3 separate regions of the Mus musculus genome follow, and regions 1 and 3 are each reported to be linked to region 2. Evidence: microRNA targets listed by miRTarBase, many of them from high-throughput screens and not tested one by one. Region 2 holds a microRNA gene; each other region holds the end of a gene's coding sequence.
Evidence for each region. The annotated mature microRNA mmu-miR-3087-3p reads UAACUCACUGUCAUGUCCUCA and lies in region 2 at 5,577-5,597, shown strand. An mRNA with a match to its seed (bases 2 to 7 or 8) in the 3' UTR can be bound and repressed. Matches are read on the target gene's strand: a 7mer-m8 pairs with bases 2 to 8, a 7mer-A1 pairs with bases 2 to 7 and ends in A, and an 8mer does both.

Region 1: the mRNA of 5730455P16Rik is a reported target of mmu-miR-3087-3p. Seed matches in the 3' UTR shown: 7mer-A1 at 4,481-4,487, 7mer-A1 at 5,858-5,864 and 7mer-m8 at 6,118-6,124.
Region 3: the mRNA of Car5a is a reported target of mmu-miR-3087-3p. Seed matches in the 3' UTR shown: 7mer-m8 at 467-473.

Annotation. Positions count from the first base shown.
Region 1 is chr11:80,356,016-80,366,934 of GRCm38, reverse strand. 5730455P16Rik (RIKEN cDNA 5730455P16 gene) reads left to right here. Exons shown (of 10, transcript NM_027472.3): 9 at 1,996-2,099; 10 at 2,917-6,443. The coding sequence ends at 3,123. Among named protein-coding and RNA genes, the nearest start is that of 5730455P16Rik, 17 kb to the left of the region's middle.
Region 2 is chr2:25,437,237-25,448,155 of GRCm38, forward strand. It overlaps Mir3087 (microRNA 3087), which reads left to right and starts at 5,543; the gene lies at 5,543-5,598. Abca2 (ATP-binding cassette, sub-family A (ABC1), member 2) reads left to right here. Exons shown (of 49, transcript NM_001368624.1): 14 at 9-182; 15 at 252-354; 16 at 429-543; 17 at 657-847; 18 at 995-1,145; 19 at 1,222-1,426; 20 at 1,565-1,729; 21 at 1,831-2,011; 22 at 2,091-2,303; 23 at 3,289-3,485; 24 at 3,574-3,756; 25 at 3,952-4,136; 26 at 4,243-4,363; 27 at 4,639-4,875; 22 more. The coding sequence ends at 10,640.
Region 3 is chr8:121,912,657-121,916,656 of GRCm38, reverse strand. It overlaps Car5a (carbonic anhydrase 5a, mitochondrial), which reads left to right. Exons shown (of 7, transcript NM_007608.2): 7 at 150-522. The coding sequence ends at 293. BC048644 (cDNA sequence BC048644) reads right to left here. Exons shown (of 2, transcript NR_167716.1): 2 at 1-307. Among named protein-coding and RNA genes, the nearest start is that of BC048644, 6.8 kb to the right of the region's middle.

The DNA.
Region 1 (10,919 bases), not on the chromosome of region 2:
GCCTCCCGAGTGCTGGGATTAAAGACGTGCACCACCACGCCCAGCCCATGTGTTCTTTTGAGTGTGTGTCTGTGTGAGTGCAGATCCATGTGTATGTATTCTAGCACACATGGGGGTCAGATGGCAACATTGGGTGTCAGTCCTCATTTCTACCTTGTTCGAGAAAATTTTTCCTTGGCTGCTGTGTATGACAGTCTAGCTGGGCTCAAGGTTTTGGGGATGTTTTCCCTGTCTACACCTTCCATCTCAGTATAGGAACAGAGGGATACGTTCTTCTGCATCTGGCTTTATGTGGGTGCTGGAGGTCTGACCTCAGGACCTCATGCTCACATGGCAAAGAATTTTATACACTGAGCCACTGCCCCAAGCCTAAAGGCATTTCCAATGTTTCCAATGTTTCTGTTTAGTCCATATATATATGAACACATCTGAAGATCAGAGGATAACTTGTGGGAAAGGGTTTTCTCCATCATCAGGATCAAACTCAGGGTTGGTGGCAAATACCTGGGCCCACCGAGTCACCTTGCTGGCCCCATATAAAGGCTTTGTATGTGTGTGTGTGTACACACGTTTTTGTGAGTTTAACAAGTGTAAGTGCTACAGTGTGCAAGTGCAGGTCAGAGGACAACTTCACTTTCCACCAAGTTTAAGTCAGGGCCTCTGTTTTGTTGTTGCCTGCAGTGTTTTGGGGCCGAGCTTGCTCATGAGCTTCTGGGGTTTCTCCCGTCCTTCCTTCTAGCTCCCCATATGCTGCTTGCACTGTGTGTATCAGCCTTTACAGGGTCCGGGGACTCTAATTCAGGTCCTCATTCTGTGAGGCAAGTACTTTTTCTTTCCTAGTCTTCTCTCTCACCCACCCAAGACCTCTTTGAGACAGGATCTCACTCTGCCTTGGATTGCTAGGATTAAAGGTGTTAGGCTACACATGGCAGCCTTTTTTATTTTATTTTTTGAGACAATGTTTGGAAAACCTGGAACTTCCTACATAAACTAGGCTGCATCCCAAGTTGGGGAGACCAGGAAGATGCACGCAAACAGCTCTAAAGGTCCTTTTGGTTGTTTTGACTGCGGCAAGAGGATCTCTACATAACCCTGGCTGTTCTGGGACTCAGCCATCCTCTACCTCTGCCTCCCAAGTGCTGGATTTAAAGGCATGCACCAGCACACCCAGCTTCTAACGCATTCCTTGATATAACAGATTGGAAGCAACCTAAATATTTACCAACAGGAAATCAATAATACACAACGGAATGGAGAGCAGCTAAAAGTCAGCTAGACATACATGTTAGGATGGCTCTGAGACACACTGTTTAGTGAAACCGCCACTAAGAAAACCACACAAAGCACTAACATGTACAGAACAACACATACATAAGGTCAAGGTCGTAGCCAAAGCTTGAAGTATGGATAGAAATGACAGTCCTTTCTGATGGGGAGAGGGAATGTGATTATGGCACTTAACTGTTGTAGCCCTGGCTCTCTTGGACTTGCTTTGTAGACCAGGCTGGCCTTGAACTCATAGAATCCATCTGCTGCTGTCCCGAGTGCTGGGAGTTTTAAATAATTATTTAAAAATGTTTTTATGACCGCCTGGTGGTGGCGCACACCTTTGATCCCAGCACTTGGGAGGCAGAGGCAGGCGGATTTCTGAGTTCGAGGACAGCCTGGTCTACAAAGTGAGCTCCAGGACAGCCAGGGCTATACAGAGAAACCCTGTCTTGAAATACCAAAAAAAAAAAAAAAAAAAAAAAAAGTTTTTATAAAGAAATTCATGTGCTGGGACTGGACAGATGGTTAATAGCATGTGCTGCTCTTTCTTTCAGAAACCCAGAGTTGGGTTCGGCATATCCAATACACATCTGCTCTCCCAGGGCCCCTGTACTCATGTACACATACAGCATATATACAGAAGGAAGAGTAACAAAAGTCAAGTCTTTAAAAACTGACATATATGTGCTCTGAGGTATTTAATTTTGTGTATTTCCTGTTGTTTAGGAAGCAACCGTTTTTGTGAGGACTGGATGCAAGCTTTCTTACACGGTGCTGAAGCCGGTAACCCTTTTCTTTTCAGACAAGTCCTGGAAAACTTTAAACTAAAGGTAATGAGGTGGCTGTGGGCTATGGGTCAGTTACATTGTTTTTGTTCTGCATTTAATTACTGCAGGTGGTAGCATCAATGATGGGCTTGTGCAGTTACAGTGTTCTTTAAATGGGGCATCCTCTGAGCTCAGAACACAGGAGGTGTCTGCTCTCCAGCGGCACTGCATGCGTGTGATTTCATTTCCACCACTTTGGGGTGAATTGCTTGCTTATATTTAGGGTGCATCAAACTGACACATCTCAGTTGAAAAACACAGAAATAAATTATTTCAAATTCTTGCAAGTGAGGGCTGGTACCTTAAGAGCTTTTTTTGTATTATTTATTTATTTATTTAATGTATATGAGTACACTGTAGCTGTCTTCAGACATACCAGAAGAGGGCATCAGATCCCATTACAGATGGTTATGAGCCCCCATGTGGTTGCTGGGAATTGGACTGGACTCAGGACCTCTGGAAGAGCAGTCAGTGTTCTTAACTGCTGAGCCATCTCTCCAGTACCAGGAGCTATTTTTTTTTTTAAAAGTCTTTTTAAAGTGAGATTCTTTTACACTAAAGGCAAGCATTTTAGCAATAGGAATAATGGGTATTTTTTTTAAAGTTCAACATTAGCAGGGTGGGTAGTACATAACTTTAATCCCAGCACTCAGGAGACAGAGTTCAAGACCAGCCAGAGCTACATAGTGAGACCCTGTGTCAAGAGACAAAACAAAAGCCGACATTATCAGTGTCCGATGAGTGTTCAGCTAGAGACGGGGTATTTTTCAAGCATCATCATCATGTCACTGAACATACTTACAGGGCAATCTTTTTCTAGGCTATACAAGACACAAACAATTTGAAGAGATTTATCCGACAGGCAGAGATGAATCATTACGCTCTGTTTAAATGTTACATGTTCCTTAAGAACTGTGGCAGTGGAGATATCCTTTTGAAGATTGTTAAAGTGGAACATGAAGAAATGCCCGAGGCCAAAAGTGTGGTGGCTGTCCTTGAAGAATTCATGAGAGAAGCGCTTGTCTGAAGTTCCAGTCCCGTGTTGAGGATCTGTTTCATGGAGTGTATTGAGGCTGCATGTGGGGGCTGTAATTACCATTGTTTATAGGATTGCACTGCCCTAAGATGACTGGAAACACCCCAGCTTCTTCCTTTTGTGCTTTTTTTGTTTAATTTAATTAAACACAACAATCAGAGGAATGTCTTCACCAGGTCCTAGGCAGACGCTGTGTTACAGCTGGGGAATTTTGCTGTCTCATAAATCCTAAGCACGTGCTGCCTAAAGAGCTCTGGAGATGAGTTTTGGCTTCTTGGGAGTTTACCGTAGTGTTTAGCAGGATTTCCTCCTCCAAAAGAAACATAGTATGCCTTTCTCAGTACAATGTAGAAGTTTGTAAAGTACATGATCCTAGCAAGATGTGATGACACATGCCTATAATCCCAGCTACTCAGGAGGTTGAGGCAGGAGGTTGTGAGGTTCCAGGCCAGCCTGAGCTACTGAGTAAGTTTATGTCCAGCTTGGACTACAGGGCAGTCATCACCTTCCTGGTCTTACTGCACCATCAGCTCGCTTCATTGACAGCCTGTTCATCCTCTGAGTGCCTGATACAAACCAATGGGCAGGAATGACGAAGCCACCTTTTGAAGCGAATATACACACGAATTATGAGTGTATAAGCACTTAAAAATGAGCTTTATGTATAGAAACTTGTGGGCTGGCAAGGTGGCTCAGAAGGTAAAGAAACCTGCCACCAAGTCTGACAACCTATGTTCAATCCCCAAACTCACTTGGTAGGAGAGAACCAACTCCACAAGTTGCCTCTGACCCATACAGAGCTACATACTCAATAAATAAATACATGAAGATATGGTGGGCTGGAGAGGCAGCTCAGCAGTTAAGAGCATTGTTGCTCTTGGAGAGGAGCCGGCACCTACCTGGTGGCTCAATTTCAGGGGATTTGACACCCTGTTCTGACCTCCTCAAGCGTCAGGCACACATGTAGTGTATAGATATACATGCAGACAAAACATACACATAAAATAATCTAAAACCAGTAAGAAAGAAAAGAAAGAGGAAGAGAGAGAAGAAAGGGTATACTAGCTTCAAGATGAAACATTCTCTCTGACTAAAAAGCTCTTGTGGCAATTTACACAATAGGTATTTATTTGCCAGGAGCCTGTATTTTTTTCTTCCTTATTTCTAGATAAAAATGCTGGAATTCTTAAGCAGTATTAAGAAAAAGGGAAATAAAACAGTTAATATAGGAAATATCCTTTACAAGCAAATATAAGAATGCACATGTGGTGATTCATGTCTTTGAATGTAACCTTCCACAAGACGTAGGCAGTTGGAACTCCCTGAGTTCAGGGCCAGTCTGATTTACTGAGTTATATAGTAAGCTTCAGGCCAGCCAGAATTACAGAGTGAGTCCCTGTCTCAATAAATAAGAAAATAAACAATATTTTAAAAATTAAAAAATGTAAACAAATTCCTCTCAACACAATTGCTCATTGATTTTAGATCTTTCTGTCTGTCATAAGCCTCAGATCGTTTTGCCCTGAGTCAATTGCAAGAGCCCTTGAGTCGTCATTTCTCATCCCATGGGTGCCAGCTGCAGCCACACGCGTAGCTGTTCTGCATAGCTCTTTAATAAATCCATTTGGTAATGAATTTGGTTTAGAAAATCAGAAGGCTTATGTTCTCACTGCCTTTGGGATGCTCAGAGGAGCATGAGTCTGTGAAACGGAGGCATTCTTAACTGCTTGTAAACCCTGCTAGGAGCTGAGTTCTAACTTTCAAAGAGACTAATGATATGGCTTTCTGCCTTTGCTTCTCCATAAGTCAGTCTAGGGATAGGAGTCACCACGCCCTTCCTTTCCCTTTAATGAGAAATACAATTCAGTATCTTCATAAATGCTTTCATATGGCTTTAAAGTTTAATAGCTTGGATTATAGGCAGTATAGAAAAGAATGTAAGTAGCATTTTTATAGCTATCTGACGGCTGGATAGTCAGCAGCTCTGTGGTACTTTTCTTGAATCTTTTCCCAATGCACTTGGTGCCCACTTGGAAATCATTAAAAATGAGCGACATTAGGACATCGAGATTTTGAGTCTCTAAAATAGTAATCTTTATTTTTAAATTCACAATCAGGAGCAAATAGAATTCTAAAAGTAAGTGTAGGGGTTAGGGAAACAGCTCAGTGTAAAGTACTCGCTATGCAAACGTAAGGACCTCAGTTTGATCCTCGGGACTTAAATACAGAAGCAGGAGTGCTAGCATGTGCTTGTAGTCCCAGCACTGGGGAGGAGACTCAGTTCTTACTGCCAGCCCAGCTGACTTGGTAAGCTTCAGGCCAGCAGAGACCTTATCTGAAAACAAATGGAAAAAAAAAAAAGATAGCTCAATGGATAAAGGCCCTGGCTGGCAAGTCTAGAGCCCATGTGAAGGTGGAGGGAGAGCTCACTCCTGCAAGCTGCTCTCTCTCTCACTCTGTCTATGCATCCTTCAGAGCTAACTATTAACAAACAAGAAAACAGAAGGGTAGATGGCTCCTGAGGATTGTCCTCTGACCTCCAAATGTTTGTGCACACAAATAATAATATATATACCAATAATAAATAAAAGCAAATGCTCTACCAAAAAATAATAAAAATAAACGCAAATGCAGCCAGGCAATGGTGGTGCACACCTTTAACCCCAGCCCTCAGGAGGCAGAGGCAGATGGATCTCTGAGTTCAAAGTCAGCCTGGTCTACAGAATGAGTTACAGAATAGCCAGTTACACAGAGAAACCCTGTCTTGGTAAAAAGAAAACCAAAACAATAATAAAGGAGATGCATTAAGTCACGTGTGGATATAGGAAAAACATAACTCTATATTCTTTGCTTATTTATAGGTACTTCTTTGTAATGTAAGCCCACTACACTACACAATTGTATATAGTAGTCTTATATTTAAAAAGAATCTGCATAGGCAGAGACAGGCGGATTTCTGAGTTCGAGGTCAGCCTGGTCTACAGAGTGAGTTCCAGGACAGCCAGGGCTATACAGAGAAACCCTGTCTCAAAAAAACCAAAACAAAAAAACAAAGAATCTGCAAAATTCTGTACCACTGAAAAAAGATGTCATGGAATTAATTATCTTGTTGATATGAAAAACAGCTCATAACCATAAGCCTATTGTCATATTCAAATTTTAATGTGAATGTATTAAATTTTAAAGGCTTGGGGGATGGAGGAACACCCTCTCAGAACAAAGGGGAGGGGGAATAGGATGAAGAATTCTAAGAGGGGGTGCTGGGAGGGGGGCAACATTTGAAATGTAAATAAATAATTAATTTTAAAATATTAAAGGCTTAAATAGTGTTTGTTCAGATGCGAAGTAAACGAGTGCTTATGTGCAGTACGCAGGAAATATGTTGGCCTTGTGTAAAAATGCCTCTGTGTAACAGTGATAAAACTCCAGGTCAAGGCAGGTAGTTTTACCTAACTGAGCTTAATTCTTACCTTTAATTATTTCCAGTAATTTTACATGGAAATTATACTTCACACACACACAAAGATGTGTGAAAAAAACTCAGATTACCTGTTGGAATGCACACAGAAGAGGTAAACAGGTTTCTCACAATGGTTCATTTGTTGTGTAAAAAACAGTTTCACCTGTAGGACGCAGTAGCTCAGGTCCTTTCCTGTCTTGCTCATTGTTCAGAGTGATAGGACTCTAGGTGGTGGTGCAGGCCTTTAAATGGAGGCAGGCGGATCTCTGAGTCACAGGCCAGCCTGGTCTACAGAGTGAGTTCCAGGACAGCCAGGGCTACACAGAGAAACCCTGTCTCAAACAAACAAAGCAAAACAAAAGTGAGAGACAGGACTTGATGCTGGAAATTCTGGTGACAGGGAGTAGTGACAGGGCTGACAAGAGAAGTCTGAGCAAACATTTCAAAGTTACCAACTGTTCCTCATAGCCTTGGGCTGATGCAGTGAGACAGGCTCTTCATTGTGCATGTTCATGTGTGTGTTTGCACGGATATGTGGAGACCAGAGGACCTTGTATGTGTGGCCTGGGGCTTGCCAAGTAGACTAGGCTGGCCAAGTCCCAGGGATTTGCCTTCCCTATGCTGGAATGGCAAGTGTATACCACACGTGGGTATGAGGAACTTAACTCAAGGCCCAATGGCTGCACAGCCATGTTATTGAGCTCTCTCCCTAGCCAGAAACTGGCCCTTTGTTGACAGGGTCTCTATTATGGAGCTCTGGCAGTCCCGGAACTCCATCTGTAGGCCAGGCTAGCCTTAAACTCAGAGATCTGCCTGCCTCCGTTCCCAAGTGTTGAGACTAAAATCATGCAGCACCATGGCCAGCCAGGAATGGCTTCTCACACTCTATCATTGCATGGTTTAATGCCCTTGAAGTCCCATGCAACATTCAGGGGCCAAGAACAGGACCGGGGGTGTGGGGGTGTGTGCCTTAGGTATGGATCCAGCATACTAGTTACTATCAGCATGTGACTATGAGTCCTCCTCTGTTGTACAAATATGGGATTGTTCATAAGCATTTTACATAAAAATGTGAAATGAAAGCTATGAAAGTGGTGGTGCATGCCTTTAATCCCAGCACTTGGGAGGCTGAGGCAGGCAGGTTTCTGAGTTCGAGGCCAGCCTGGTCTACAGAGTGAGTTCCAGGACAGCTAGGGCTATACAGAGAAACCCTGTCTCAAAAAACCATAAATAAATAAATAAATGAAACAGCTATGAAAATGGCTGAGTATAGTGGCACACTCCTTTAGTCGAAGCACTCAGGAGTTAGAGGCAGGTGAATGTCTGTTTAAAATTAGCTAGGGAAGCCAGGGTTACATAGTGAGACCCTGTCTCAAAAAGCAAAACATTAGCTAGAAAAATACCTACCTCATTGTCTTAGGGTTTTACTGCTATGAACAGACACCATGACCAAGGCAACTCTTTTTTTTTTTTTTTTAAGATTTATTTCTTTATTATAAATAAGTACACTGTAGTTGTCTTCAGACACACCATAAGAGGGCATCAGATCTCATTACAGATGGTTGTGAGCCACCATGTGGTTGCTGGGATTTGAACTCAGGACCTTTGGAAGAACAGTCAGTTCTCCTAACCGCTGAGCCATCTCTCCAGCCCCCAAGGCAATGCTTATAAGGACAACATTTAATTGGGGCTGGCTTACAGGTTCAGAGGTTCAGTCTATTATCATCAAAGTGGGAGCATAGCAGCATCCAGGCAGCTAGGGTGAAGGTCTCCCCCTTACCCTCAGACAGGGTTTCTCTGTGTAGCCCTGGCTGTCCTGGAACTCACTCTATAGAGCAGGATGGCCTCAAACTCAGAAATCTGCCTGCCTCTGCCTCCCAAGTGTTGGGATTAAAGGGGTGCGCCACCACTGCCTGGCTAGGGTGAGGGTCTTAAAGCCCACACCCACAGTACATACCTACTCCAACAAGGCCACACCTCCTAATAGTGCCACTCTCTGGGCCGAGCATATTCAAACCATCATGTCTAGCATAAGTAGGAACTTAGTAAATTCTTTCTTTTTTTCCCCCCTTTCTTTCTTCCCCAAGGCAGGATTTCTCCGATTAGCCCTGGCTGTCCTGACTCAGAGATCTGCCTGTTCTCTGCCTCTGAGGCTGGAACTGAAGGTGTATGCTACCACGCTCAGTTTGTTTTCATTTCTTAAATTATCACTGGTAAACATCTTAGCAAGTTACTTGATGAATGAGAGTCTGACAGGAGGGAAGAGACAGGAAAGGAAAGGAAAGGAAAGGAAAGGAAAGGAAAGGAAAGGAAAGGAAAGGAAAGGAAAGGAAAGAGAAATGGGAGGATGTCAAAGGCAATGTAAGGAAGGAAGCAGCTTTTGGGTCTTCAAGGAGCTGCCTTGAAGCCACAGTTCAGGTACCTGGAGCCTGGGAGACTTCAGTGGAAAACCTCTGCAGGGGACTCAGCTCTGCGCATGGTACAAGTGGGCGATCAGTCAGCCTGAACCAACTGCACTCCTGATCTTAGTTCAGGGATGGCTCCTGCGGTGTTTTGAAACATTCTCCAATAATACACAGGAAATTGATGTGAAGGGAAGTAACCCCCACTCTGTACTTAACAGGGCAATTTAATCCTCCAGCACTCAATAGCAGTTAGCTGGAAAGATACACAGGCTGCTGCTGACCTGACACCGAGTTGGCTTCTCCAAGCCTCATCCATGCAAAGCCAGCTCAGCTGTTAAACTCCCAGAGTCCCAGGCTTCGCCTTGAGCATATATGGAGCTTCCATTCCCCCTCCTGGAGGTGAACTCGACCAGGCACCGTTCTCAAGATTACGATGTTGATGTTGATGGAACCTGGAAGCACTGGGCTTACTGAGGGAGAGAAAGAGGTCTCTAGGACATCTCAGAGATTTCTATCATAATACAATCATATTAACCACATATGTGTGGTTGAGATATATATATATATATATATATATATATATATATATGTATATATATATATATGATTAATATATGAACATATCTACATGTATTAATCATGTATAAAAGTATAATAAATAGAACTGGAGAGATGGCTCAGCAGTTAAGAGCACTGACTCCTCTTCCAGAGGTCCTGAATTCAATTCCCAGCAACCACATGGTGGCTTCCAACCATCTATAAAAGGGATCTGAAGCCCTCTTCTGGTGTGTCTGAAGACAGCTACAGTGCACTCATATAAATAAAATAAATCTTAAAAATGTATGGTATATATAATACATAATATATATTTTACATAATAAATAATATTATGTATAGTATATTAAGATATATACACATACCATATATACATGCACACATATATATACACACATGTATGTATATATGTGTATGTGTATATATATATATATATATATATATATATATACATATATATATATATATATATATTCCTGAGTAGATGTGTTGTTGACAAAGACAAGGCCATGTCAAAGACCCCAGTGTGTCATCCCCACAGGAGCAGCAATGCCTTCCCTGGAAGAGACTTGGAGAGATGGGAAAGGTTTCCTCTGGTCTGTGTGTGAATATAGATAGTGTGCAGAGAATGTCTACCGTAATTTTGCCCCTCCACATGTTTATGGCCTGAAGACTGCGTCCCTACAGAGACTGTGTCTACGAGGTTAGCTACACTTGCCTTCCTGTTCATCTGGATACCACAACCTGAGTTGCCTGTCCAACAGTATATATAAACACTTTGAGCTCGTGGGGCAGGGCTGGGGCTTCTCCATCCACATCCACTCAATCCCAGATTTTCCATTCTTGAATCCACGTATTTGTCATTTCTTCATTCTGTGGCCAACTGTCCATCCCTAGAGCGACTTGGAGGGAGGTACTTAGAACTAGATGAATGGAAGGGAAAAATAGGCCTGAGGGGACAGGGGGCTGAGACTCCTCTCTATCTGCTGGCACCCACCTCGAAAACTGTCCGGGAAGCGACCTATGTGGGTGTTTTCTTTTTTTCTTTTCTTTCTTTTTTTTTTTTTTTTAAGATTTATTTATTTATTATATGTAAGTACATTGTAGCTGTCTTCAGACACACTAGAAGAGGACATCAGATCACATTACAGATGGTTGTGAGGCACCATGTGGTTGCTGGGATTTGAACTCAGGAAGAGCAGTCGGTTCTCTTAACCGCTGAGCCATCTCTCCAGCCCAGTGGGTGTGTTTTCATGGAAAGAACCTTCAGTGTTCACCAACCACTCTGAGAAGGTTAAGGAAGACAGTGCCAACCACCAGTGCCAGAGCCACCCACCCACCACTGCCCGTTTTCACTCTCCCCACCC
Region 2 (10,919 bases):
TGTTCCAGGCGTGATCTTCCAGACACGGAAGGACGGCTCCCTCCCTCCACATGTACATTACAAGATTCGCCAGAATTCAAGCTTCACTGAGAAAACCAATGAGATCCGCCGTGCTTATTGGCGTCCAGGGCCCAACACCGGTGGTCGCTTCTACTTCCTCTATGGCTTCGTCTGGATCCAGGGTGAGGTTTTGAGCCCAGATGGGATTCGAGGGGGCCTGGCCTCGCCCTGACACCACCTCCAACCCACAGACATGATGGAGCGCGCCATCATCAACACATTTGTGGGGCATGACGTGGTCGAACCTGGCAACTACGTGCAGATGTTCCCATACCCCTGCTACACCCGTGACGAGTGAGTGCCAGCCTTCAGAGGTTGGGGGGGGGGTGTCTCGGGCCGAGCCCTACCTCACGCTTGTCTCCCCTCAGCTTCCTGTTTGTCATTGAACACATGATGCCATTGTGCATGGTGATCTCCTGGGTCTACTCTGTGGCCATGACCATCCAGCATATTGTGGCAGAGAAAGAGCACAGGCTCAAGGAGGTGGGTCTGGGTGGCTGCAGGCGCCCCCTAGGGGAGGGGCGGCCGGCGTGGGAGGGGAGGAGCGGCAGTGCTGTCCTTTCCTCTCGTCTCTACCCCACCTACCTGCCCCACAGGTGATGAAGACGATGGGCCTGAACAACGCCGTGCACTGGGTGGCCTGGTTCATCACGGGCTTTGTGCAGCTGTCTATCTCCGTGACAGCTCTGACCGCCATCCTCAAGTACGGCCAGGTGCTCATGCACAGCCACGTGCTCATTATCTGGCTCTTCCTTGCCGTCTACGCTGTGGCCACTATCATGTTTTGGTGAGTACTGCAGGGAGTGGGGAAACTGTTAAAAATAGGCAGACTCTCTCTTAGGGCTCCTTTGGGCCCCACAGGGGCAGCCCAAGTGGGCTGCAGGCCAGGAGTGAAGGGTCTTGGGGTTAATGGCTAAGTGATCTTCCACTGTAGCTTCCTGGTGTCTGTGCTGTACTCTAAGGCTAAGTTGGCCTCAGCCTGTGGCGGTATCATCTACTTCCTGAGCTACGTTCCCTACATGTATGTAGCGATCCGCGAGGAGGTAGCCCATGACAAGATCACTGCCTTCGAGAAGTGCATTGCGGTGAGGTTTGTGGCCGGGCGGGGCCAGGATAGGGTGCGCGTCTCCAGCCCATCTACTGACACCCATCTTTCTTCAGTCCCTGATGTCCACAACAGCCTTTGGCCTGGGTTCCAAGTACTTTGCACTGTATGAAGTGGCAGGAGTGGGCATCCAGTGGCACACGTTCAGCCAGTCCCCAGTGGAAGGAGATGACTTCAATCTGCTCCTTGCTGTCACCATGCTTATGGTGGACACGGTGGTCTACGGCGTGCTCACTTGGTACATTGAGGCTGTGCACCCAGGTACAGGCCTATCTGTGGAGGGACCAGTGTGGGACAAGGTCACTGGGCTTCTGCCTTCCTCTGGGTGGTATTTGGCCCTTGTGGTGGATAGTCGTCACCTCCAGGCCCCCTGTCAGCTCTCCCCTCCTGGACCCCCAGGTATGTATGGGCTGCCCCGGCCCTGGTACTTCCCGCTACAGAAGTCCTATTGGCTGGGCAGTGGGCGGACAGAAGCCTGGGAGTGGAGCTGGCCATGGGCACACACACCGCGCCTCAGCGTTATGGAGGAGGACCAGGCCTGTGCCATGGAGAGCCGGCACTTCGGTGAGGCGAGGGTCAGAATGTTGACTGGGATGGGTGCTGGGTTTGGGGGTCTGGGGTGGCCTTGGTGCTGCCCCCAGCCTGCTGACTCGGCCCTGGTACAGAGGAGACCCGCGGCATGGAGGAGGAGCCCACCCACCTGCCCTTGGTCGTCTGTGTGGACAAGCTCACCAAGGTCTATAAGAATGACAAGAAGATGGCCTTAAACAAACTGAGCCTCAATCTGTATGAGAATCAGGTGGTCTCTTTCCTAGGCCACAACGGGGCCGGCAAGACCACGACCATGTGAGTGTCTAGGGACAACGAGGAGGGATTAGCTAACGGGAGGATGTGGTGGATTGTGACCCCGCTTACCCCACTCCAGGTCGATCCTGACTGGACTGTTCCCACCCACGTCGGGCTCAGCCACTATCTATGGGCACGACATCCGCACCGAGATGGATGAGATCCGCAAGAACCTGGGCATGTGCCCACAGCACAACGTGCTCTTTGACCGGCTCACGGTGGAGGAGCACCTCTGGTTCTACTCACGCCTCAAAAGCATGGCACAGGAGGAGATCCGCAAAGAGACGGACAAGTGAGCGCAGTGAGGGACTGACAGGGCAGACGGACGGGTGGGCAGATGGACAGGCGGGCGGGCATGTGGATCTGAATCTGCCCCACTGCTGGGCACAGGCAGTTTGACTGCGCTTATCCCACACTGCAGGGATAAGCACAGTCTGAGATGTGGGGAAGCCTGCGCTGGTTCAGAGGTCCCTGGGCTGTGATGAAGCAGGGCAGGGGGTGGGAGGGGTGGGGGCATGGGATTCTCAGACTCTTGGACGGCTGCTGAGAGTTGTAGAAGGGCAGAGAGTAGAGTCAGGAGCCTACTGGCTGAGGACAGCATCTAGCTCCAAGGTTGGGGGCAGGTGGAGGGAAGAGCTCCGACTTGCCCCAGCCGTGATTGCCCTTAGCTTGCCAGAGGCAGGCTGGAAGCACAGATGGGCCTTTCATGAGAGAGTTGTGATGTGGGTCTGTAGACAAAGGCCTTCCCCAGGTTCCTCATGGTGGGTCTTGATGAAAGCAACAGCCCATGTTTAACCTTATCCTTTATTAGCTGGAAAATGGATGCATAAGCCCTCTCTCAGGGTCTGACCCGAGATTAAATACCGTTTGCAGGGAGAAATGTCTGGGAAGGGAAGCTTATTGGCTAAGCCCTCTGGGCCTCTAGATGTCTCATTAGTGTGGAGAGCTCTGTTTTGGTCCTACTATGTGGCCACAGGACACATTTCTTTTATGTGAGAAGCATGGCAGGTATTCCAAGTCAGGAGTCTGGCAGAGAGCAGGGAGTTGCCTAAATCTCCGGTGACTGCCCACCTACTCTCCCGGGTCTCAACCGGTTCTACCCACCAAACTTCCTGGCATGGTTTTACGTCCCACAAGGGCATGAGCAGAGGGAGGTGCTGTGGATGCTCATGTGGAATTCAGGGGGAGGGGTGAGGACATGGGGAGATGAGGGCTCTCCCCAGTCAGCCTTCCAGCCTTGGTCTCCCCCTCCCATCCCCTTCCTGTCGGGCCCACAGGATGATTGAGGACCTGGAACTCTCTAACAAGCGGCACTCACTGGTGCAGACGTTGTCTGGAGGCATGAAGCGCAAGCTTTCGGTAGCCATTGCCTTTGTGGGTGGCTCTAGAGCCATTATCTTAGACGAGCCCACGGCTGGCGTGGACCCCTATGCTCGCCGTGCCATCTGGGACCTCATTCTGAAGTACAAGCCGGGTGAGCAGGCTAGCGGGCTGGCCGTGGCGGGGGTGGTGTCTCGGCCTGCCCTGTCTGTTCACTTACCTTGGTGTTTGGCCTACCCCAGGCCGCACTATCCTCCTGTCTACCCATCACATGGATGAGGCTGACCTGCTGGGGGATCGCATTGCCATCATCTCCCATGGGAAGCTCAAATGCTGTGGCTCTCCCCTCTTCCTCAAGGGAGCCTATGGCGATGGGTACCGCCTCACATTGGTCAAGCAGCCTGCAGAACCTGGCACCTCCCAAGGTCTGTGCTGAGACTACTTGAACCAGCCTCTGGTCCTCCGTACCCCATGATTCCTTACCTAGGAGAGGTGCAACCTCACCCTCACTTCATGGGGACTTGGGACACCTCTAAGCCTCATCTCGACTTGCTTGCCCACTAAGGCCCCTTCTTCCTCAGCCTCTCACGCATCCCCTTCTGCTCCCCCTTCCTTCCCAGAGCCAGGGCTGGCTTCCAGCCCCTCAGGTTGTCCTCGGCTGAGCAGCTGCTCGGAGCCGCAAGTGTCCCAGTTCATCCGCAAGCATGTGGCTTCCTCCCTGCTGGTCTCAGACACGAGCACCGAGCTCTCCTACATCCTGCCCAGCGAGGCCGTCAAGAAGGGGGCCTTCGAGCGCCTCTTTCAGGTGTGTGGGGCTGGCTGTGGTGGCTAGGGACACGAGGGGCCCGGAGAGAAGAAGGACACGTCGCTGCCTGCGTTCCGTGGCGCTGCCTTACCCGATCTCTTTGCAGCAACTGGAACACAGCCTGGATGCGCTCCATCTGAGCAGTTTTGGGCTGATGGACACAACTCTGGAGGAGGTGTTCCTCAAGGTGTCTGAAGAAGATCAGTCACTGGAGAACAGCGAGGCTGGTAAGAGCACCCAAGGCTGGCGGTCTGTCCAGCTACCCACAGAAGGCCCTGGGGACACTGCTTCTCTGTAAGTCTCTGGAAGTGGGGTCAGGATAGGCTCGTGGTGGATGGTATGGTAGCTCTGCCTACCTGTGAGTAGGTATGTGAATTAGAGGCTGGGATCAAGGCAGGGCCTGGGGTTATGGGAGGACACTAGGGACTGAGGTACTAAGATGTCCTGGAGAGGAGAGCCTTGGCCCAAGCCTTCCCTCCCTCACCGCCTCTGTTGTTTGCAGATGTGAAGGAGTCCCGGAAGGATGTGCTGCCTGGGGCAGAGGGCCTGACAGCTGTGGGGGGTCAAGCTGGCAACCTGGCTCGGTGCTCAGAGCTGGCACAGTCACAGGCATCGCTGCAGTCTGCATCCTCTGTGGGCTCTGCCCGTGGGGAGGAGGGCACCGGCTACTCTGATGGCTACGGTGACTACCGTCCCCTCTTTGACAACTTGCAGGACCCAGACAATGTCAGCTTACAAGGTGGAAGCCAATGGGGAAACTGGGGAGGGTCCAGAAGGGTGGCGTGGGACTGGCTATTTACCTCTGCCTCTCTGCACAGAGGCAGAGATGGAGGCCCTGGCTCAGGTGGGCCAGGGCAGCCGCAAACTCGAGGGCTGGTGGCTGAAGATGCGGCAGTTCCATGGGCTCCTGGTGAAGCGCTTCCACTGTGCTCGTCGGAACTCCAAAGCTCTCTGCTCTCAGATTCTGCTGCCTGCCTTCTTTGTCTGTGTGGCCATGACTGTGGCGTTGTCTGTCCCTGAGATTGGTAAGGGTGCCTGGCCCATGTGGTCTGGGGCGAGGCTACTGTCTTGCCCCTGGGTCTTGGCTTCATTTTTCTCCCAGCCCCCTGTAGAACAGTCCTGAGCTCCTCTCCTCACACTCTGAACCTTACTCAGGGGCTCATGAGAGGATCTGTCTCCTTAGGAGTCATCCCCACAAGCTCAGCCCTCTCTGTGTTAGGGCTGGGGCTGGCATCAGATAACTGCAGTCTGCTCAGGTCTCCGTATTCACCCATCAGGTGACCTACCTCCACTGGTCCTGTCACCCTCTCAGTACCACAACTACACCCAGCCCCGTGGCAACTTTATCCCTTATGCCAATGAGGAACGCCAGGAGTACCGGTGAGGCCGTGGGCTGGGGCTGTAGCACAGGGCAGGGCAAGAGTTGAGACTTATGGCTCCTAACTCACTGTCATGTCCTCAGATTACGGCTGTCACCTGATGCCAGCCCCCAGCAGCTGGTGAGCACATTCCGGCTGCCCTCTGGTGTGGGTGCCACTTGTGTGCTCAAGTCTCCTGCCAACGGCTCCCTGGGACCCATGCTGAACTTAAGCAGTGGAGAGTCCCGCCTGCTGGCGGCACGGTTCTTCGACAGTATGTGCCTGGAGTCCTTCACACAGGGGCTGCCACTGTCCAACTTCGTGCCACCTCCGCCCTCACCCGCCCCTTCTGACTCACCCGTGTCCCCAGATGAGGATTCACTGCAAGCCTGGAACATGTCCCTGCCACCTACTGCTGGGCCAGGTACTACCTCAGGGAAGGCTCCGGGGGGCACAGGCATGAGTGACCCATCTCATTGTGCTGCACTGTGCCCACAGAGACGTGGACGTCGGCGCCTTCTCTGCCACGCCTAGTGCATGAGCCAGTCCGCTGTACCTGCTCTGCACAGGGCACGGGGTTCTCATGCCCCAGCAGTGTGGGTGGACACCCACCCCAGATGAGAGTGGTCACAGGTGACATCCTGACTGACATCACTGGCCACAATGTTTCTGAGTACCTGCTCTTCACCTCTGACCGTTTCCGACTACACCGGTAAGTTGGCCTGAAGTGGCTGTGAACAAGGGGTGCCTGGCAGATGGCTGCCGAGCCTCAGTGACCCTCCCACCTGTCTTGTACAGATATGGAGCCATCACCTTTGGTAATGTTCAGAAGTCTATCCCAGCATCCTTTGGTGCCCGGGTCCCTCCTATGGTGCGGAAGATTGCAGTGCGGAGGGTGGCTCAGGTAGGCGGCTGCCCTTGGGTTTTGGGCACCTGGTCCTAAGCCTAATAACTTTTGGTTTCTGAGCCTCTCTGAGGTCCTTGCCCCTCCCCAGGTGCTCTACAATAACAAGGGCTACCACAGCATGCCCACCTACCTCAACAGCCTCAACAATGCCATTCTGCGTGCAAACCTACCCAAAAGCAAGGGCAATCCAGCAGCCTATGGTAAGGAGAATCAGGGTTGAAGGACAGGCAGGGATGCAGCTGAGCCGAATGGTTGCATGGACCTAAAGCTACCCTTTTCCCGTGTGCAGGCATCACCGTCACCAACCACCCCATGAACAAGACCAGTGCTAGCCTCTCCCTGGATTACCTGTGAGTGAGGCAGACCAAGTTGAGGAGGGGCAGGACCACCTCGTCCTGACACCTCCTGGAACTGAGTGCTGTCCCCTTCTAGACTGCAGGGCACAGATGTGGTCATCGCCATCTTCATCATTGTGGCCATGTCCTTCGTGCCAGCCAGCTTTGTGGTCTTCCTTGTGGCAGAGAAATCCACCAAGGCCAAACACCTGCAGTTCGTCAGCGGGTGCAACCCTGTCATCTACTGGCTGGCCAACTACGTGTGGGACATGGTGTGCCCCCGCATGGTCCCTCCCTGTCCCTGACTCCCATCCCTACGCCCGGGTCTCATCCTCCACCTTCACCTTTGCAGCTCAATTACCTGGTCCCAGCCACCTGCTGCGTGATCATCCTCTTTGTCTTTGACTTACCTGCCTACACATCACCCACCAACTTCCCCGCGGTGCTCTCCTTGTTCCTGCTCTATGGGTGAGCTGGGGAGGGGTGTGGAGCATGTATGGTTGTGGGTGTGGCTGGGGGTGCCCTGTGACCACCACTGTTTGTCCACAGGTGGTCCATCACACCCATCATGTACCCAGCCTCCTTCTGGTTTGAGGTCCCTAGCTCAGCCTACGTGTTCCTCATCGTCATCAACCTCTTCATCGGCATCACAGCCACGGTGGCCACTTTCCTTCTGCAGCTTTTTGAGCATGACAAGGTAAAGGTGGGGGTGAATGGGCAGCAAGGCGTGGCTTGGGGCAGCAATGCTGAGCTATGGCTGCCCCCCAGGATCTGAAGGTGGGGGTGAGTGGGCAGCAGGGCGTGGCTTGGGGCAGCAATGCTGAGCTATGGCTGTCCCCAGGATCTGAAGGTTGTCAACAGTTACCTGAAAAGCTGCTTCCTCATCTTCCCCAACTACAACCTGGGCCACGGGCTCATGGAGATGGCCTACAATGAGTACATCAACGAATACTACGCCAAGATTGGTGAGTCTGGCTCTGGGTGGACAGTACGGGCCTTCAGGGGGCCACAGAGTGGCGTGCCTAGTCCTTGACTCTTAAGTTCCAAGAACAACGGGGACCCTTAAGGCTCTCAGAACCCTGAACCAGCGGTTCCACAGGCCAGTTTGACAAGATGAAGTCCCCGTTCGAGTGGGACATTGTCACACGTGGACTGGTGGCCATGACAGTCGAGGGCTTCGTGGGATTCTTCCTCACCATCATGTGCCAGTATAACTTCCTACGGCAGCCACAGTGAGTGGAGTGTGTTGGGTGATGCTGCGGACCCTTGGTGGGGTGTGTGTGTGTGTGTGTGTGTGTGTGGCTTGGCCAAGCCCTGACAACTTTGCTGCCCTAGACGCCTGCCTGTGTCTACTAAACCTGTGGAAGACGATGTGGATGTGGCTAGTGAGCGACAGAGAGTGCTCCGTGGCGATGCTGACAATGACATGGTCAAGATTGAGAACCTGACCAAGGTGGGCTCTGAGCTGTGGGAAAGTAGGTGGGGAGTGGGGCGGGGAGTGGGTCCCAGCAGTGGGATGAAGTCAAGCCAGACAGGAACCCCCCCCCCTTTGCTGAGAGGGAAGGCTCTTTGGTCAGGTGTACAAGTCTCGGAAGATTGGCCGGATCCTGGCAGTGGACCGCCTTTGCCTGGGTGTGCGCCCTGGAGAGTGCTTTGGGCTCCTTGGTGTCAATGGTGCAGGGAAGACCAGCACCTTCAAGATGCTGACTGGAGATGAGAGCACAACTGGGGGAGAGGCCTTTGTCAATGGACACAGGTGGGGTTCCTGTACCCTGGATACACACAGGGAAGCATTGGATGTGCGTGTGCCTGTGTGTAACTGCTTCCAGGTGCACGGCTGCTGGGGTTAGGGTGTGAGTGGGTGGGAGACCCCACCCCTCAGGTGCAAAGGTGTGTGTGTGTGGATTTAGGAGTGTGCTGACCATGACCTCAGGGTCCAGGAGGGCAGGTGTGGGGTGAGCATACCGTCCTGGGTATTGATCACCCTCTGTCCCCAGCGTGCTCAAGGACCTGCTCCAGGTACAGCAGAGCCTTGGCTACTGCCCGCAGTTTGATGCCCTGTTTGATGAGCTCACGGCTCGTGAACACCTGCAGCTGTACACGCGGCTGCGTGGCATCCCCTGGAAGGATGAGGCACAGGTGAGGACAACGGGGAAGTAGCTGGGGGTGCCCCAGTGTGCATGTGCTGGTGGGAGTTCTGTAAGGTGAAGCCCACACCTCCTCGCTTGGCCCTGCCAGGTAGTGAAGTGGGCCCTAGAGAAGCTGGAACTGACAAAGTATGCAGACAAGCCAGCTGGCACCTACAGTGGAGGCAACAAACGGAAGCTTTCCACAGCCATTGCCCTCATTGGGTACCCTGCCTTCATCTTTCTAGTAAGTCTTAGGGGTAGGATTCCTGGTCAGCCAAGGACGGCAAAACCAGGTTGGGTGGGCTGTGTCTCTGGCTGAACTGACCCCTGCCCTAGGATGAGCCCACCACTGGCATGGACCCTAAGGCCCGGCGCTTCCTGTGGAACCTCATTCTGGACCTCATCAAGACGGGACGTTCGGTGGTGCTGACGTCACACAGGTGTGCCCCTCCCCCACCCCTCCGTGGGCCTCTGGCAGCCCCTCTGGTACCAGCCTGAGCTGTCTGTCCACAGCATGGAGGAGTGTGAGGCTCTGTGCACACGCTTGGCCATCATGGTGAACGGGCGGCTGCGCTGCCTGGGCAGCATCCAGCACCTTAAGAACAGGTGAGCCGAGCAGGGGTGCAGGAGGTGGGAGGGCTGTCAGACCACACCACGCGGGGCTCCCGGCCACACCTGTGTCCCACCAGGTTTGGGGATGGCTACATGATTACTGTAAGGACCAAAAGCAGCCAGAACGTGAAGGACGTGGTGCGGTTCTTCAACAGGAACTTCCCAGAGGCCATGCTCAAGGTAGGTGTGGTTAAATGGGGTAAGGGCGAGAGCATGTCCTGCCCTGGCAGCCCCAGACCTCCATGGTTCCCCGATCTCCTCCAGGAAAGACACCATACGAAGGTGCAGTATCAGCTCAAGTCAGAGCACATCTCGCTGGCTCAGGTGTTCAGCAAGATGGAGCAGGTGGTGGGTGTGCTGGGCATCGAGGATTACTCAGTCAGCCAGACCACCCTGGATAACGTGAGTGTGCTGCGTGGAGTTGGGGTGTGCCCTCTTGGATTTGCCTGCACCACTCACCGGCGGGCCCCGCCCACCTGTCCCCAGGTGTTTGTGAACTTTGCGAAGAAGCAGAGTGATAATGTGGAGCAGCAAGAGGCTGAGCCCTCGTCCTTGCCGTCCCCCCTTGGACTGCTCAGCCTGCTGAGGCCCCGCCCCGCACCCACAGAGCTCCGGGCATTGGTGGCTGATGAGCCAGAGGACCTGGACACAGAGGATGAAGGCCTCATCAGCTTCGAGGAAGAGCGGGTGAGTGGTCAGCACCCTCCGGGCGGTTCTGCCGCTCCGGCTGCCCGAGGCTCACACTGAAGGACCTACATGAGAGGGGCAGCTGTAGCTCTGCCTTCTCTCTGCTGCTTGGCCCTGGAGCAGAGAGGGTCGTCTGCATGTCGAGGCCTTGAGTGGATATGGGGAAGCTGGAATGGGCAAAAACCGAATGCAGAGCCCAGAACTCACTGCAAGCTTTGAAGACCCCAGATCAGTGGTGGGGATTACAAGAAACCAAAGACTAGGGGGAGTGACTACCAAGCTGGCCAAGAGGAACAGACACCAACGAGTACTTAGTGGGGGGAGGATGCTCAGGGGAGTGCCAGTGCCCAGCGAGAAGTCAGGTAGAGCGTGAATATCCTCAGCTCCCACTTGGGCGCTGAAGATGCCTTCCCAAGCCCATTTTGTCTGCTCTTCACCAGGCCCAGCTCTCCTTCAACACTGATACGCTCTGCTGACCATCAAGAGCCACATCAGGGATGCAGCTGTGTGGGGCAGATGTCAGGCGGTGGCCGTGGCCCCTAGTCACACATGCCAGGCCCTGGAAAGGCAGGTTCAGGACCAAAGGGCTCCTGCCCTCCTCCCAACTACCATCCTCCCCGAATTGTGCCAAAGGCTGGCCTGGCCCTGGGCTGCACATACCCTCACCCTGCTTTGCCTTAAAGCCTTGGGTCCTGGCCCAGCCCCTTACCCTGCCCAGCACCATCCACCTTCCCAGGGTGACATGGGCTGCCCCA
Region 3 (4,000 bases), not on the chromosome of region 2:
GGTGGCCACTGTGCCTTTAGTGATCCCTTGGACTTCGCGGAGTCACGGGTTCATTATACTGAGTTCTGTTGGTCAGTGTGGGAGGGGTCACCCGGCACGTGGATCTCTCTGTGCCTGTGTCAGCTCACCGCGGCTGTTCTCCGTTCCAGCTATCCACGTTCCGCACACTCTTGTTCTCCGGGCGAGGTGAGGAAGAGGATGTGATGGTGAACAACTACCGCCCGCTCCAGCCCCTCAGGGACCGCAAACTTCGCTCGTCCTTCCGGCTTGATCGGACCAAGATGAGGTCTTAATCTCAGGATGAAGTCTGTAAGGATAGGCAGAGCAGACCGGAAAGGGGGCCCGAGTTTCCAGGGTGCCACGTGGCACGACGAGCCGGGGCGGCAGTGGCGCACGCCTTTAATCCCAGCACATGGGAGGCAGAGGCAGGCAGATTTCTGAGTTCGAGGCCAGCCTGGTCTACAGAGTGAGTTCCAGGACAGCCAGGACTACACAGAGAAACCCTGTCCCGAAAAAAAAAAAAAAAAAAAGAAGAGGAGAGACCTGCTTTGTTGTTGTTGTTGTTGTTGTAAATAAGAGATATTCTTTAAAGAAACCCGAGCAGAGCTGAGGAACAGCTCAGCCCACAAAGTGCTGGCCTTGTGCCCCGAGGACCCGAGTTCGGATCCCCAGTATCTGTACGAAAAGCTAACGACAGTGCCGTGAGCACGTAAGCCTCAGTGACGGGCAACACGGGAAGCAGAGATGGGTGGAAGCCTGCAGGCCAGCCGGCTGGGGGCTGTGTTGTAAAATTCCAGACCTGGTGAGAGGTCCTGTCTCAGGCAAAATGTGGGAGGTGTCTGAGGACTGACTGACATGTGACATTGCCCTGTGACATCCACAGGCAAAAAATGCACATTTGCATCTATACATACAGGTGCCCCAAAATGCCCAAGTCATAGACACAGTGAGAAGGACAGAGACAGAGAAACTTAAGTTTATAGAGTACAACTCTGAGCAGAAGACCCAAGATAGGTACAAGGTGGCCTTCAAGACTGAGCAAACTGTGGAATGTGGTGGCTCATGCCTTTAATCCCAGTACTGGGGAGGCAGAAAGGATGGATCTCTGTGAGTTCAAGGTCAGCCTGTTTTACACAGTGAGTTCCAGGACAGCCAGGGCTATGTAATGAGACCCTATCCCAACACAACAAAAACAAAAATCCAAAAACAGAAACCGAACAAATAAAAAATAAATAAAACAAAAGCAAGCCTCCCCAACTGACTGTTTTGTCTGGCTCTCAGCTCCTGTTTTTTCCGCTCCGCACGTGGAAGTTGTCTGTGGCACACTGCTAGGGCCACCCAGTGTCCTCAGTAACACAGAGGGTGGGACCAACATCCTTTCTTCAGTGTCAAATTGGAGACCCCTGTAACACACCATGGAGAGCTGGGTGGCTTCGAGAGCCTGAAGCCCATTCTTAGGAAAGCCCAGGCAGGCTGTAGTCAAGGTGTGAGCAAGGCGGCTTCCTTCTGGAGGCCCTGGAGAGACTCACCGCCGTACAGCCCCAGGCTGGCCTGGAACTCAGCGTAGTCAAGGCTTGCCCTCCATACTGCTGGCTCTATGGCCACAAACTGACTTTTCTGTCCCCTCATTCCATACTTCCACAGTCACATCTCTTGTGGTCTGGCCCAACGGCCTCAGAAAGACCCCCTCATGGTTTTTACCTGGTGTCCCTACACGGTCCAGGATCAGTTCCCCATAACCATGGCCTTGATCCCCTGCAGAGTCCCCGAGGCTGGGTCACACATCCACGGGGTCAAAGGTTTAGACGTGGGTGTCCCTGAGGAACATCGCCACAGGCTCTGTATCTCTTGACCTCCAGGAAGGGATTCGGTATAAAGTGAGACGCCTTGAAAGGCGAGACATGCGCCCTGCCACACTGCTGCCAGACACCCCTCTGTTGGATGCCTTTTCTCTGGAAAAACGGCTGGCAGACTCAACTCTCAGGGCCTCAACTGCATCTCCGGATGCCCCACCTGGTAGTGGCACTATAGAGAGAGGAGTGTCCTTAGCAGGGTGTACAGCCTCACTCCACCACACTAGCCACCAGTGTGGCTGGGGACGCGGTGGTGCCTCCTCTACAAACATCACCGCTCTTGGCACCCTCACCCTGCTCCTTCAGGCTGGGTCTCCAGCTTCTTACCTTTTCCTGGGATCTCCACCCTCAGATGGCCCTGCAGCTGCCCCTCCCTTGGGCTCTGACAATGGCCTGTTACAGACCGCTCACCCTCCGTCACACTCTGGTCCTTATCCCTATTGTGTCGTCTTCTGACCTCTTGGCCCAGTGCATCCAATGTGCTCTGTGATCCTTTGGCTTCTGTTGTCTTTCGTCATCAGCCCCCTGGGATTCAGATTCCAAATGGAGTGAAGATGGACAGTACCCGAGGGTTGGGGTCCCTCCGTGTTTATTTCCTGGAGGAATGCGAGCTGCCTCCTGCCCGTGCACCTGCTCTGACCAGCACACAGCATTCAGCATCACAAAGCCAAGAGGAATGGCCGGCTCCGAGGCCTCCTTTGTACACTGGATCAGGACTACCTGGGGCTCCATCACCTCTGTTCCAGGTGACAACAGATGTTCTGTCACCTCAGCCATTTGGGGATTTTTTTTTTTAACTGTTTGCTTGCTTGGAAGAAGGGGGTGGGAAATCCCCATTCATGTGGTAGTTATTGCTTTTATGGCATTACCACTCTCCCTCAGGTGGAAACACGGCTCAACCACCTTATCGTATTATCTTCAAACGTTGCTTCCCCGCCAGGTAATGCAATGAAAAACAACACAGAAAAATAAGCAAGCGCTGGTCTGTCTTCCAAGGCACACTGTGTCTCGCTGGGGGGAAATAAAGAATAAATATGTACTCTGGTCCACAAATAGCAGGCTGAATCAAAGAGAGCCCGCGGAGTCCCCGGGTTTACCTTGGCAGAGTTTGGTCCTCTCCCAGCTCAGAGTTTCCTATGGTGTCAACAGCCTGCAGCTGCAGCGGGGCTAGGCAGTGTCCCGGAGCAGCTACAGAAAGCCACCCTGGGCTTCCCGATAGCTTCCTCCTAGAAGAGTGTAGAGGCTAGCGTGCAGCTGTGACCGTGGCAGTAGCTGGCCCAGGTGCAGCAAATGCCTGAAGGCCACTCTTGACTTCCAGGCATGCTGGGTGTCTTGGCTGCCAAGGCTGGCAACAGAGTATGAGAGGGTCAGGGGGCTCTGTCACTATAGACATGACACCAGAGGGCAAGTGATCATCTTGCCTGTGGTTGGAACTCAAAGTTCATTTTTTTTTTAAAAAAGATATATATATACACACACACACACACACACACACATATACATATATATGACTTCAGACGCACCAGAAGAGGGCATCAGATCCCATTACAGATGGTTGTGAGCCACCATGTGGTTTCTGGGAATTGAACTCAGGACCTCTGGAAGACCAGCCAGTGCTCTTAACCACTGAGCCATCTCTCCAGCCCCCAAAGTTCATTCTTGAGACTTGAAGAAACACAAGCATTCTCGAGTCTCTAGGAGAGGGACTTCAGTCTACACAAGCAAGTGCTGAGACAAGACAGGTCCCCACCCAAAGGCTCCCAACAGAAAGGTGTGTCTTCTGGCCATGTGTGATAGCACGCATCCCTAACTGTAGCTTGTGAGATGCTGGGACAGAGACTTGATAACCTGTCTGCTTTTTGTCTTTTTTGTAAAGAGTGGATACCCAGGTCCTATGCTTGTGTGTCCCAGACCTCTGAGACTCATGCAGCAAGGGGAAAGCAGTATTCACGAGAGGGAATTCCTGAATCTCAAATGCAGGCACAGAGCTGCTTCCACCAGGCCAGACCGTGTGGAAAACTTGATGGGAAAGGAGCTTGGGCCTCAGGTTCTTTGAGCAACAGGACTCTTCTGTGTGTGCCAGGAAATGGGATTGTGGCCCAGGTCTCAAGATTGGAGCCTGGGACAAGCCACAAAGGAGTCACATT